Linked DNA regions of Nothobranchius furzeri. The protein of the gene in region 3 purifies or fractionates together with the protein of the main gene of each other region. This does not show direct contact. Links are inferred from orthologs where the notes say so. Each region holds a gene or a part of one and is shown on either strand. Other genes may lie near its edges.

Region 1 (3,146 bases), on a different chromosome or scaffold from region 3:
GAACTCCCCTGGATGATGGAGCTCTTCATCTTTTCTCCAAAGAAGCTCATTTTAGCTGCTTTTATTTGGGATCTTTTACTTTTGGTTATCCAAACCAGTGAGGGTGGGAATGTAGATGAACCAATAAATCAAGAGCATTTTCGTCCTTTTATTCTTTCAACAAGAACAAGTTATGAAGCACCGGCTACAACTGCAAAGCCCCAATCCACCGGCCCATCTTTTGCTCCATCCAGTCCTCACTTGTCAACTAGACACCCAAATAATTGAATTATATAAGGATGTGCAATAAAGCACAGATGAGATCTCTGCGACTACAAGATGAGATCTTGTTCATGAATGCCAGACAAACAGGATACACCCTGGATGAATCGACGCAAACCAGTAATGAACTTAAATTTGTACAGAAAATGAAGCTGTAGCTCTTGCATTGGCCGTAGAGAGCATCAAACTCCCGTGATGCACTCAGCAACTCATTTTGATGATTTATGATACTCTCAACCTAAGAAGCATTTTGGATGACATAAAGCATCAACAACACAGTCAGAGTTTATGTGATTTTATTCTTCATCACATTCAAGGTGATCTGGACAAAACACGGCACTTTACAGTTAGCAAACAAATAAAGGGTAACAGTTCTGTATTTTGGTGAGAGTACAGTTCATCAACTGAGGAAAAAAGATTCCTGTTCATCAGCGTACCGACGAGGGAAAAAAGGAGACAAAAAGCATCAATAACAACAACATGAGGGCATTAAAGTGTCACTTTTTCATTTCGAGTATTCCACTTCCAGGTCCTCGCCTCTTCGCACTGCAAATGTTACAGAACTGCACTCCAGGAATCTGGAAAAGTAAAAATGGGAACAAAGTGGAGGATGTTCCTGAGGTTTTCTGATAAAATAACACCAGAGTTGGGAAAGAGGTGTTTGAATGCAGACTTACTATTCCTGAAGACGGCAAACACTCCTTGTGAAACATGTGTCTGCAGTGAAACACCACCACACTGAAAGGCTGGGCCATGTCTGAAACACACACATGAAGCTGTTAATACAGTAAACATAAAAAAAAAAACAAAAAAAAAACACAGGGATCAATGACATTATCAACCCACCTGATGGTAATATAGTACCATGACACGACTCACAAATGTTCCCCTCTGAAAGAATGAACAGAATCAACACATTTAGGGGTTCATCTGCACTGGTTCAACACAAACTAGCAATAGAATCTGCTCCCACCATCGACCCGGACTCCTCTCATCTGGGTTCGATGCATCTTCTGGAGCAAGGAGAGGGAGTCGGCCACCAGGATCTTCTTACACCCTTCCCTTAAAAGAATCTACAAGTCGAGAAATAAAAGCGCGTAATTAAGCAAGTGAGTCAGAAGATTTCATGCCATATAAACCAATTAAATTACCTGTTAAACCTGTTATAACTCTTCAAAAAGCAGAACTTAATGGATTAATAACAAGTTTTTACATGAAGGAAGCTCCTGGTGTGTCATGTAATCTTTAAGCCACCAAAGAATCAGTCTGCAACCTGCAGACATTTAAATAAATAGAGTTTTTCTTTGAGAGAAGCCACCTGACCTGCAGGTTGTAGTCATGGAGGATTTTCACCAGCGAGTCCCTGAGATTCGGGATCTCCATGCCCTCCTTGATCCGATAGATGAGCAGAATCGGATCAACATGCGTGCCGATATTATTCAGGAGGCCCGTGATGAACGCTGGGTTTAGTGAGGGTGGAGTGAGTTAAAGACAATGAGATAAAAGTTCAGAGTCAAGTGACGTCTTACGCGGCTTGTCGATCGAGTACGAGATGAGGTCCTCCCACAGCTCTGCGTCATCCTGCTCTTTAGCGAACTCGATGGCTTTGTCCACGTCCTCCAGCTCCTCCATGATCATCTGCAGGGCTCGTCTACAGTTTCCCATCCTGCCTGAAAGACGAACGAGAAAAAAAAATTGCATTTGTTTCTCACGTTTCCCTTAACAGATGCGTTTGTTTCTAAATGTTTACTTAGCAGGAAGACCGTCTCTTCCACAAAGTTCCTCTGCTGACAAATCTCAAGAGCCTGGATGAAAACGACAAAGTTCAAGTAAGAAGAAATGACAGAAGCTTAATTTGTTTGTAATTCTGGTGGCAGGAACACACAGTACCTTTTCAAGAGGGCAGTGAGTGCTGTCTCTCAGAAAAGGCAGAAGGTTTGGCCGGTCGTATTCGGCGTACAGGCCGATCTGCTTCTCATGGTACTTCTGTCCTTTGTGGTGGTCCCTCTTGAACAGTTTATGGAGATACTAGGAGAGAAACGGCTTAGCCATCACGCTGCACCAATGAATTCAAATGAACCCCTAAAACATCCAAGTTACAGAAAACTCACCACATGCAGCAACTCAGGTCGACCATGTAGCTCCTCCACCACCCTGTCCATCTGTCGGGAGAGCCATGGACATCAGCTAGCAGCAAAGTTCTTACCAGGACATTCAAAACTGTCAAATTTACTCACAGAAATCTTGTCTTCATTGTCGAGAAGCATGTCAACAGCTTTCTAATGAAAACGTACACATTTAATTACATAAATGGTCTTTAGATGGACTAAATAATAAATAGGTTGGTTTGTTACCTCCTTATCAAAGTCCATCAGGAGGACGATCTTGTCCTCTATGGAGGAGAACAGGTTGTGCTTGTGGATCAGCTGGTAGACATCTTTGTGTCTCAGTCTCAGGTAGATCTCTAAAGCTCTGTCGTAGCGCTGGTCGTACGTGTACCTGAGAAAGCATCAAGTCCTGTTCAGCAACTTAACAAGAAGCTTAGATGAAAGCGAGCGCTGAGGCGACTCACAGCTCAGCCAGCGTGGTGAGCAGCGTGCTGTTGGTCGGATCCTTCTTCAGGTGGTCAGTGACGGCCTGAACGATGGCCATGTTGTTGTAAAGTTCTCCAGGCCACTCCCGGATCAGCGTGGCAAAGCCCTTCAGGAAAATAAGAAAAGGAATAAGATTAAAGAGCAATGAGTGCATTTCTATAGTAGGTACACACGTTAGTAGCTGGTTTTCAGCCATCTAGATCTAATCGTTTTTCCATTTCATTTTGTCTCCCAACCAGAAAACTTCTCTTACATCTTTAGAATTCTCCAGCAGGTGGAGGAATAATACCG
Region 2 (4,240 bases), on a different chromosome or scaffold from region 3:
GGTTCATAAAACGTGTAAAACAATTAACTAGAGCGAGATTTATGTAAACAGACAGAGCTTTCTTTAAAAATGATTGGCTGTAAACAGAGTTTTGGGAATTTGACTGCTGTGTTTCACAAGGAGGACATTATATTACATAAATTCAACCCAGCTGGACCAGTTATAGGCGATACATCCACATCAGCACCACTTCTGAAGAATCTCACACGGCTTCACACCATCGCTTATCTTCTGACAATAACAGATGTACCTTTTTGCAGGATTGCAGTCATATGTTCTCCTAAAAGCTGTTTCTCAATGCAGTTAATGAGAGGTTTCCTGTGAATTGAGCAAAAAGAAAACACAAGAAAGAAGGAAAACTAAGTGTGTGTAACAGGAAACAACAGATACACACACAATACTGTACAGTTTGGAGAAAAGGATCGTCTACAGCAGACATCTGTGATCCAAGGTTTTGTATACAAGAACATCAGAATGAACTAATTTAGTCTATCAAATCGGAAAAATATCCAACCTGTATTATTATTTATTTAACCGTGTTTAAAGACTGTAAAAATATGTTTGCTTCCATATTGATGTGTGTCGACTCTGGTTTCTTCTGTGAATTTTGGTCAGTTCTGATTAATCTCAAAGAGCTAGAATTATCAGAAAATATTTGCTCCAGGGTCTAAGCCTTGCTAAAGGGTGAATAAATCCTGCTGTGACAGTTCCAGATCTTACTGAGTGCTCTGGTCGAGGTAGCTCATGATTCGGTCATTCTCCTCCTCTAAACGTCGAGCCACATGGTGCAAGTATTCTGGTACCTGCACGAGCACGCACGCACGCACACACACACACACACGCACACACACACACGCACACACACGCACACACTGCTAATTCACAATTTACTTTAACCGCATGATAAACAGACGAATTTATCATCTCACTCACGTCTCTCTCCTGCATCAGCCGTTGTCCCTCAGCTGCATAGAGACGATTTGTCTCAGTCAAAAATCTCTCCTCAAACGAGTCTCTATAAACCTAAAATGTTTTTGTTAGGTTAGATGATTTGTTGGAAAATAATCTTCCTGTGCATTTACAGATGTGATAAACTGGAGATGGTGTACCTGCAGGTCTGACAACATGCCCAGTAAACTCCGGAGAAGGCTGCGATCAATGGTCTCGCCGTTGCGCTCCAGCTCTATCTGCTCCAAAAGTCCCTCCACTGTTCGCTTCTGAACAGCAACATCGCTCACGATGTGGGTGCGGAACAGTTCCAGCCCGGTGTCCCTGCAGCACATGAACAGCATCAGCTTCCTGAGAGCATCCTGACAGACCGGGAAAAGCTCAAACGAGCCGAGTTTACCAAATGGAGGGGAGCAGAGAGTTCTGAAGCACATAGGTACGATCCAGGAAGAGAAAGATACTTCGGATCATTATCTACAAACAGGGACACAGGTTGGTTCATTTATGCTTTACTGACATTTATTCTACAGTTTTTATATGGAAATCTATCAGACGTTGCACTTACAGTTTGCCTGCAGTGGTCCTGCCAGCATCGATTCATTCGCTTTAGGAAGGAAAGGTTGTCCAGAGACTCTGTGAGCTCCAAGTTGAGGAAAAAACGTCAAATTTATCAGAAGTCTGAGTCGAGTTTATGGTCATCTGATGGTAGAAATAGTCAAATATGTCTTAAGCTGTAAACATCTGAGCCACACTTGGGGTTAGTCTGACACGACTGAGCACAAGTCAAAAGGATATTCTCTGAACTGATGGATCTGGGCCTGAACGTGATCTTCACAGACTTGACGCAGCTGTTTGTAGAGTGTGGGGGAAACTTTATAGGAGCACAGGTTCTCCACCGCCTTTCAGTGACATATTTCATCACAGACAAGAAGAAAAAATAATAGACATGTTAGCAGCTGACACGATGTCACATGTCTAACCCAAAACTGAGCTTGTTTGTTTTAACAGACAAACCTGGTAGAGCTCTTCCAGGTTGTACTTAATGGAGGTGCTGTTCTGGATGGCTCCTACTGCGTCTCGAAGCTTCAGCCACGTGTCTTCTGTGTAGTTCTCTGATAGCTTGGGCCTATCTGTAACCAAAGCAAAGCAAAGGTTGCACAATTTATAAAGAGAACATCATGAAATGACAAGATAAGGCGTGTGTTTACCACTAATCGATTGACTGATTGATTTGATTGATTTGCTTTATTGTCATTGCACAAAAAACCCACACTGTAATTTTGACAAAAAAATCCCTTTGCTTGGCAACCCGCAAGATAAAAATGTGAGACTATAAATTGTAGCCTTAAAAATACTTATTATAAATCAATGAATAGTTCAGTGCAAATTATAAATTGCAGTATACTTAAAAAATAATCTTTCACTTGGCGTTCAATAATCAAATACTTATCACTTGTAAGTCGCTTTGGACAAAAGCGTCTGCTAAATACATAAACCTAAACATAAATACTCAAAGGTTTGAATGAATCACGCTTAAAATAACAATAATTTCTACTATCTGAAACATTATTTTCAGCTTCAGTAAACTGTCACTTCCCTTCTTTCATGTCATTTTGGCACTGACCTCATATAAACTAAGTGTTTTCATCCTGTTGGTGTGGGTCATGAAACACCAGGTGGAAGATTTTATAAAATAAAATTAACTTTAAAATGATCAGAGTTAAAACTCTTCAAAACAAACGTTGTTTTGTAAACATTTAACTAATCTATGCTCCATCTGATTTGAAAACATGTATGATAGCTTTGATCAATCTAGCAGTCGATCTACGCTCCTACCCTCACCTATGGCCACAAGCTTTGGGTAGTAACTAGGGATGTGTATTGGTGAAATTATAGCAATACGATACTTATCACGATACAGGGGAGGCGATATAATATCTCACGATACATTCAGTCAGACGATATTAGTGATATTTTTAGACTGAATTTATTGTAAGAAAATTCATTAAACAGTCCAAACTGATACTGAACATGTTTAACATGAGTTATCTGAACCATAATAGAGGGATTTACATTTCAATGGTGGAAACAAACCCTTTGCACACTGCTGCCAACTAGTGGTCGGCGTTTGAATTGCACCAAAAGAAAAGTAAATACGCAAATGTTTGCGTGTAAATTCTTCCAAAAATTAGAGACACAGCTTTTGAAAATCAATACAATATTGCAGGAAAAATATCACGATATATTGTGATATCAATATTTTCTATACACGGCTTTTAAGTATTGATATAACATCGCTGGAAAAAATATCCTGATATACTGCCATATCGATATTTTTTATATCCCTTGTAGCAACCAAAAAAACGAGATTGTGGATACTAGCGGCCAAAATTTGTTTTCTCCGCAGGGTGTCTGGGCTCTCCCTTAGAGATAGGATGAGAAGCTCAGTCATCCAAGAGGAACTCGGAGTAAATTTGCTGCTCCTCTACATCGAGAGGAGCCAGTTGTGGTGGCTCGGGCATCTGGTTAGGACATCTCCTGTACGCCTCCCTGGTGAGGTTTTCCGGCATGTCCAACAATGAGAACACCTAAAGGAAGACCCAGGACATGCTGAAGGGACTACATTTCCCATCTGGTCAGGGAATGCCTTGGGATTTCCTTAGAAAAGCTGGCCCAAGTTAGCCTAGTGAACTAGACCAAATTCTTGCTTTGCAAAGTTTGCAAATAATACATTTATTTAGTCTGGCTTGCCAGGCTAGGCCCAAGTGGCTGGAGAGAGGGAAGTCTGGGCCTCTCTGTTTAGGCTGCTGCCCCCGTGACCTGACCCCGGGATAAGCAGACAAAAATGGATGGATGGATGGATGATAGCTTTTCAACTACACTGCAGAAGTACATGTCAAATTAATTAGATCAGTAACAAAACAATGAAAGGTCTAAAATGATTTTAGTATCGAAAAGTCATTAAAATGCCTTGTTTTGACAGAATTTTGGCAATAAAGTAACATTTGTTGGAATTGTTATAAAAATGCAGGTATTTGGTACTACAATACAAATCTGTTTATGGCACAAAAATAAAACTTTAACAGTGCATCAAGTAGATCAAATACATTGCACTCCCTCCCAAGAGATGTGTCATACAGAAAAGCCTTTCAGGGTGTTATTTTATCAAATGAGAACAACCTTTTTGATCTCCATGGTTCCAGTAACGATGCTGCTTTACGGCAAAAAGAGAAACACTCAGGGACAGTACCTTTAAAGTTTTTGATCACTAGTTTCTTTGAAGCACCAGTTT
Region 3 (4,224 bases):
TTATTCCGTCTGATCAATCAGTTTAACTGGCTCGTGAAGACAAGGAATTTTGTTCCATCAAATTAACACAGGGTAGGAAATATGCTCCGTGTTAACACAGATGACTCACTCTCCCTCTCTTCTGAATGAAGCGCTGCATTCATTCAACTTGAGACATTTCTGTGTATCACCTGACATAACGCAAAATTAGAATATGAAAACAATGCTCATGGTGAAGATGCAATGTTTAGAAAACCTTGCAGAGAGATGGTGATGCCTACCTGAGAATCCAGCCCTGCCTCCTCTCCTCTTGTCGGGGAACGGAGCGGACTAGATTTCTGTGCAGAGCCTGGATCCGATCATAGAGTTAGTCATTGCGCATGGTGCCTGTCACCAAAACCGTGCTTTATTTATTTATTTTATTTTATTTATTTATTTGGCTGGAGGAGTTGTCTGTTGCAGATCACCCCGATGCGTGGGAAACGGTCTTCTATGCGTGGAGGATGGTTGGAAAGCCCTTGGTACCGTGGGAAGGAAACCCCTGGATCTGAAGTGATAACACAATGATGCTCATAAGTGGGCAGTCACCACCTGATCCAGTTTTCTTTATAAGTGTCTAAATTTATCTCAACATGCAGGCACTCCAGTTGAGAAATCACTGACATTTTGATTACGCAGTTGCAGTGGTGCGCCTTTTAACGCTTTTCTGTGTTTATACATGTATAAACATACAGTAATAAATAAACTGTACAGTAGTGTTTAAGTTGTATTGTAATTCCGTTAGAAATCAATTATTTGTGGGGGGTTTATTCCACTTAATTTGGATTACACACTTTGCCCGCTAACAAATGTTTTACTTTAAAAATTTGATCATTTTTGTCTTAATACAGTTTGAGTCTCGTGTTGATTTGGCTACAACAATCATATGTCCAAAAACGGACCCTAAAATTCAAAGATAAGTGTCCCTAAAATAAAGACGTTTAGTGCTTTGTTTTGACCGCAGACGCGCGTTTGTTTCGCAGGAAAATTGCGTCATCTAACGGTCACTCTGAATTTTACACTCAAGGAAATGATACCAAGACGTTTCACTCCTCATACTTCCTTGGTTGTAAACCCGAGACAAAAGCAACTTCATTCGGTGCATTATCGTCTACATGTGGTTGACATACAAAGAAATTTAATATGTGACACTGAGGCAAAGCTCTTTTAAACAGTACGGAGTTGATTTTATCTAATCCTCCTTTACTTCCGGGACACCAGAAAATTATTCTAGACCTAAAATATAATTTTTTAACCTACGTAATATAACTAAAGTCTACTAACATGAAGCTGAATTAAACTTGAATTTTTATTTTATTTTAATTTCCTAAATGTCTTGTCAGTACTGTGACGCATTTGGTCATGTGACTTTGACTTCCTGCCGAAGTCACCTGATTTTTGTGTTGTGTTGTGAGAAAAAAATGGCTGCTCATCTGTCCTACGGCAGAGTGAATTTAAACATTTTAAGAGAAGCGGCACGAAAAGAACTTCGAGAGTTTTTGGACAAATGCGCGGGAAGTAAGGTAAATAAAGTCACTTACAGACGCTGGAAAATATCAAAAGGAAATAGTCTTTTCTTATTTGTACAAAAATGTATTCATGATCCTGACAAATTAGACGGATTGTGTCGCGTTTACAGTACAGTCTATGGTTTAAACCAACGTGAAACGCGACCACGGGCAAATGCGCGTGTGAGCTTAAGTTTGATTTAAAACTTGTTTCCATAAATAAAATGTTTTTCATGGATACATGATGTGTTGTTGCTCTTTAGGCCATAGTTTGGGATGAGTATCTGACAGGACCTTTTGGACTAATAGCTCAGTATTCTCTGCTGAAGGTAAGTGCCTAACCCTTTACAGATTATTAAAATAAAACACAATGTAAGTAGATCTGACAGCCTGAGCCTTCACTTCTATTGCTCATTTTTTTGTGTGTTTTTCAGGAACATGAGGTGGAAAAAATGTTTACCCTCAAGAGTGGCAGACTCCCCTCTGCTGATGTCAAAAACATCATCTTCTTTGTTCGTCCCAGGCTGGAGCTTATGGACATCATTGCTGACAATATATTCAGGTGCCCCTCACTGTTATAAGCAACCAGTTTATACATCTTCCCTTAAAGAAATCCTTACAAGTATAACATTTGCATCTTGGATCGTGCACCTTTCAGTGAAGGCAAGCTGCATTCATCACGAGACTTCCACATTTTGTTTGTGCCTCGGCGGAGCATGCTGTGTGAGCAGCGGCTGAAAGAGCAGGGCGTGCTGGCCTCTTTCACCAACATTGATGAGTACATCCTGGATCTGATTCCTTATGATGGAGACCTGCTCTCTATGGAGTATGAAAGTGCTTTCAGGGTGAGTTTTTTCCCATTACAAATATGGAGTGTTATTTAGTCACAACATCAGAACCTCCTGCTCTATTTTATGTGTTTGAGTATATCTTTGCATACCATTTCATATTTGTACTTGCTTTCATCTCATTCAGGAGTGCTACCTGGAAAATGACCTGACGAGCCTGTACCACACAGCCAAAGGTCTCATGACCCTGCAGGCGCTTTACGGCACCATTCCACAGATTTTTGGGAAGGGAGACTGTGCACGGGTGAGTAAACCCAATGATCTGTGCAGTAACTGGAAAAAACTGTTTACACACACAATGTTAATATTAATAATGAGCAGATTAAAGACCTTTTTCCTGACAGATATTCTCTGTTTTATAGCATGTTGCCAACATGATGTTGCGGATGAAGAGGGAGTTTGCTGGCACTCAGAATCAGATTCTGCCGGTGTTTGACACTCTTCTCCTCCTGGACCGCAACATTGACCTGCTCACACCTCTAGCTACACAGCTCACTTACGAAGGCCTCATTGATGAAATCTATGGAATAACTAACGGTCAGAATGCACCATCATACGTTTGGAATCGTTCTATTTTTGTGTGAGATAAAAACATAAAAATGTTTAATATATTTTCTATTTCAATGATATATTTTAGTCTACTTAATTATTTTTTGCTAAAGGCACAGTTCTTCCTTTTTTTTCTCTTTGCCGTCTGACAGGATATGTCAAGCTTCCTCCTGAGAAGTTTGCACAGAAGAAGCAAGGAGAAGCTAGCAAAGATTTACCCACAGAGCCCAAGAAGTTACAGCTCAACTCAGCAGAAGAGCTGTATGCAGAAATCCGGGACAAAAATTTCAATGCTGTTGGTGCTGCACTCAGCAAAAAGGCTAAAATCATTTCTGCAGCGTTTGAGGTTGGTTTTCCTTTGTTTTTGTTTTTTGTTAATTTTTTTGTTTTTTTTAGATTTTGCACCTCTTAGTGTTAATTCCTACCAGATAACATAACTGTCTTATTTTATTTTGAAAGAAAAGGGGAAAAAACACATGTTTTCAATTATGGCTGCTTTCCACTTCTGTAGCTCTGCATGCTGGGTTTTCTGTAAAACACTAATGAGCAGATCTTCCTAATGGAATGCAGCCCTACTCCTTCAAGTCTAATTGTCTGCTGTAGGCTTTTATTGATTTATGTTCACAAGTGTTTTAAGGAAGACGTTCAAAATTGTCATCAAAGGTTTTTTTTAACAAATCAGAAAACCTACCTATGCCTTTGTTTAATTTTAAATTGAGCATTTGCATTTTTACATGGCCTGAAAAAAATTTTAATCTGCTATATAACTTCATTATCTATTTGAATGGTCTCCGTTTGGAGAAACAGAGATTAGTTCTGAACAGACGAACAAGCTAACAGCTAACATTTAAAACTTTAGCCAAATATAAACTAACTGGAATTTGTCCAACCCCTTCCCCTAACCCCTGACTCATCTCTGAGTTCCCTTTCTACTGGTTATTTTTGAAATATGATCGGTTAATCTGAGTTTAACATGCTGGCTAAACCTGAAAACAGTCTACCACCCCTATTTCCTGCATTAGCAGCTGATAAAAATAGGGAAACGCTTGGATTAGAAAAGCCTGACAATTCCACATCATATTGTCAAATTAGCATTCATGGACACACCCATCTTGGCTCACGATGGGGAAGGCTGTTATTGGTATAGCATCCAGGAGAGAGCAGAGCACGTCTCGGCTAGTAGAAGCCAACCGTTAGCATTTACAGCACCGCATCATAGCAGAACTCCTTCAGGCTTGTGTTGTTTGTGGAGCAATGCAAATGGAGTCAGTGGTAGCTGTTAGCCAATCAGAGGCGAGATG

Evidence for each region.
Region 1: the proteins of vps33a (region 3) and vps41 purify together in Homo sapiens (affinity purification with mass spectrometry; 5 studies listed by BioGRID and IntAct, counting the BioPlex papers as one, with this or other methods). This does not show direct contact. The link is inferred for Nothobranchius furzeri from reciprocal best matches to the Homo sapiens genes VPS33A and VPS41.
Region 2: the proteins of vps33a (region 3) and tgfbrap1 purify together in Homo sapiens (co-immunoprecipitation; 5 studies listed by BioGRID and IntAct, with this or other methods). This does not show direct contact. The link is inferred for Nothobranchius furzeri from reciprocal best matches to the Homo sapiens genes VPS33A and TGFBRAP1.

Annotation. Positions count from the first base shown.
Region 1 is NC_091747.1:46,098,415-46,101,560, reverse strand, and holds the end of vps41 (vacuolar protein sorting-associated protein 41 homolog), read right to left. Parts: intron 2,962-3,146; coding exon 2,834-2,961; intron 2,761-2,833; coding exon 2,616-2,760; intron 2,541-2,615; coding exon 2,499-2,540; intron 2,424-2,498; coding exon 2,373-2,423; intron 2,290-2,372; coding exon 2,152-2,289; intron 2,067-2,151; coding exon 2,012-2,066; intron 1,932-2,011; coding exon 1,791-1,931; intron 1,722-1,790; coding exon 1,585-1,721; intron 1,335-1,584; coding exon 1,235-1,334; intron 1,153-1,234; coding exon 1,108-1,152; intron 1,019-1,107; coding exon 939-1,018; intron 840-938; coding exon 759-839; 3' UTR 541-758; downstream 1-540. UniProt on the Homo sapiens protein: Plays a role in vesicle-mediated protein trafficking to lysosomal compartments including the endocytic membrane transport and autophagic pathways. Acts as a component of the HOPS endosomal tethering complex.
Region 2 is NC_091749.1:37,400,019-37,404,258, forward strand, and holds the start of tgfbrap1 (transforming growth factor-beta receptor-associated protein 1 homolog), read left to right. Parts: upstream 1-1,332; 5' UTR 1,333-1,348; coding exon of another isoform or gene 1,349-1,422; 5' UTR 1,423-1,440; intron 1,441-1,513; coding exon of another isoform or gene 1,514-1,582; intron 1,583-1,742; coding exon of another isoform or gene 1,743-1,847; intron 1,848-1,962; coding exon of another isoform or gene 1,963-2,078; intron 2,079-4,198; coding exon of another isoform or gene 4,199-4,240. Other genes in the region: cul4a (cullin-4A), read right to left, coding at 251-318, 721-803, 934-1,023, 1,110-1,272, 1,349-1,422, 1,514-1,582, 1,743-1,847, 1,963-2,078 and 1 more. UniProt on the Homo sapiens protein: Plays a role in the TGF-beta/activin signaling pathway. It associates with inactive heteromeric TGF-beta and activin receptor complexes, mainly through the type II receptor, and is released upon activation of signaling.
Region 3 is NC_091757.1:37,278,791-37,283,014, reverse strand, and holds the start of vps33a (vacuolar protein sorting-associated protein 33A), read left to right. Parts: upstream 1-1,389; 5' UTR 1,390-1,439; coding exon 1,440-1,541; intron 1,542-1,789; coding exon 1,790-1,855; intron 1,856-1,960; coding exon 1,961-2,088; intron 2,089-2,184; coding exon 2,185-2,371; intron 2,372-2,501; coding exon 2,502-2,618; intron 2,619-2,736; coding exon 2,737-2,911; intron 2,912-3,075; coding exon 3,076-3,269; intron 3,270-4,224.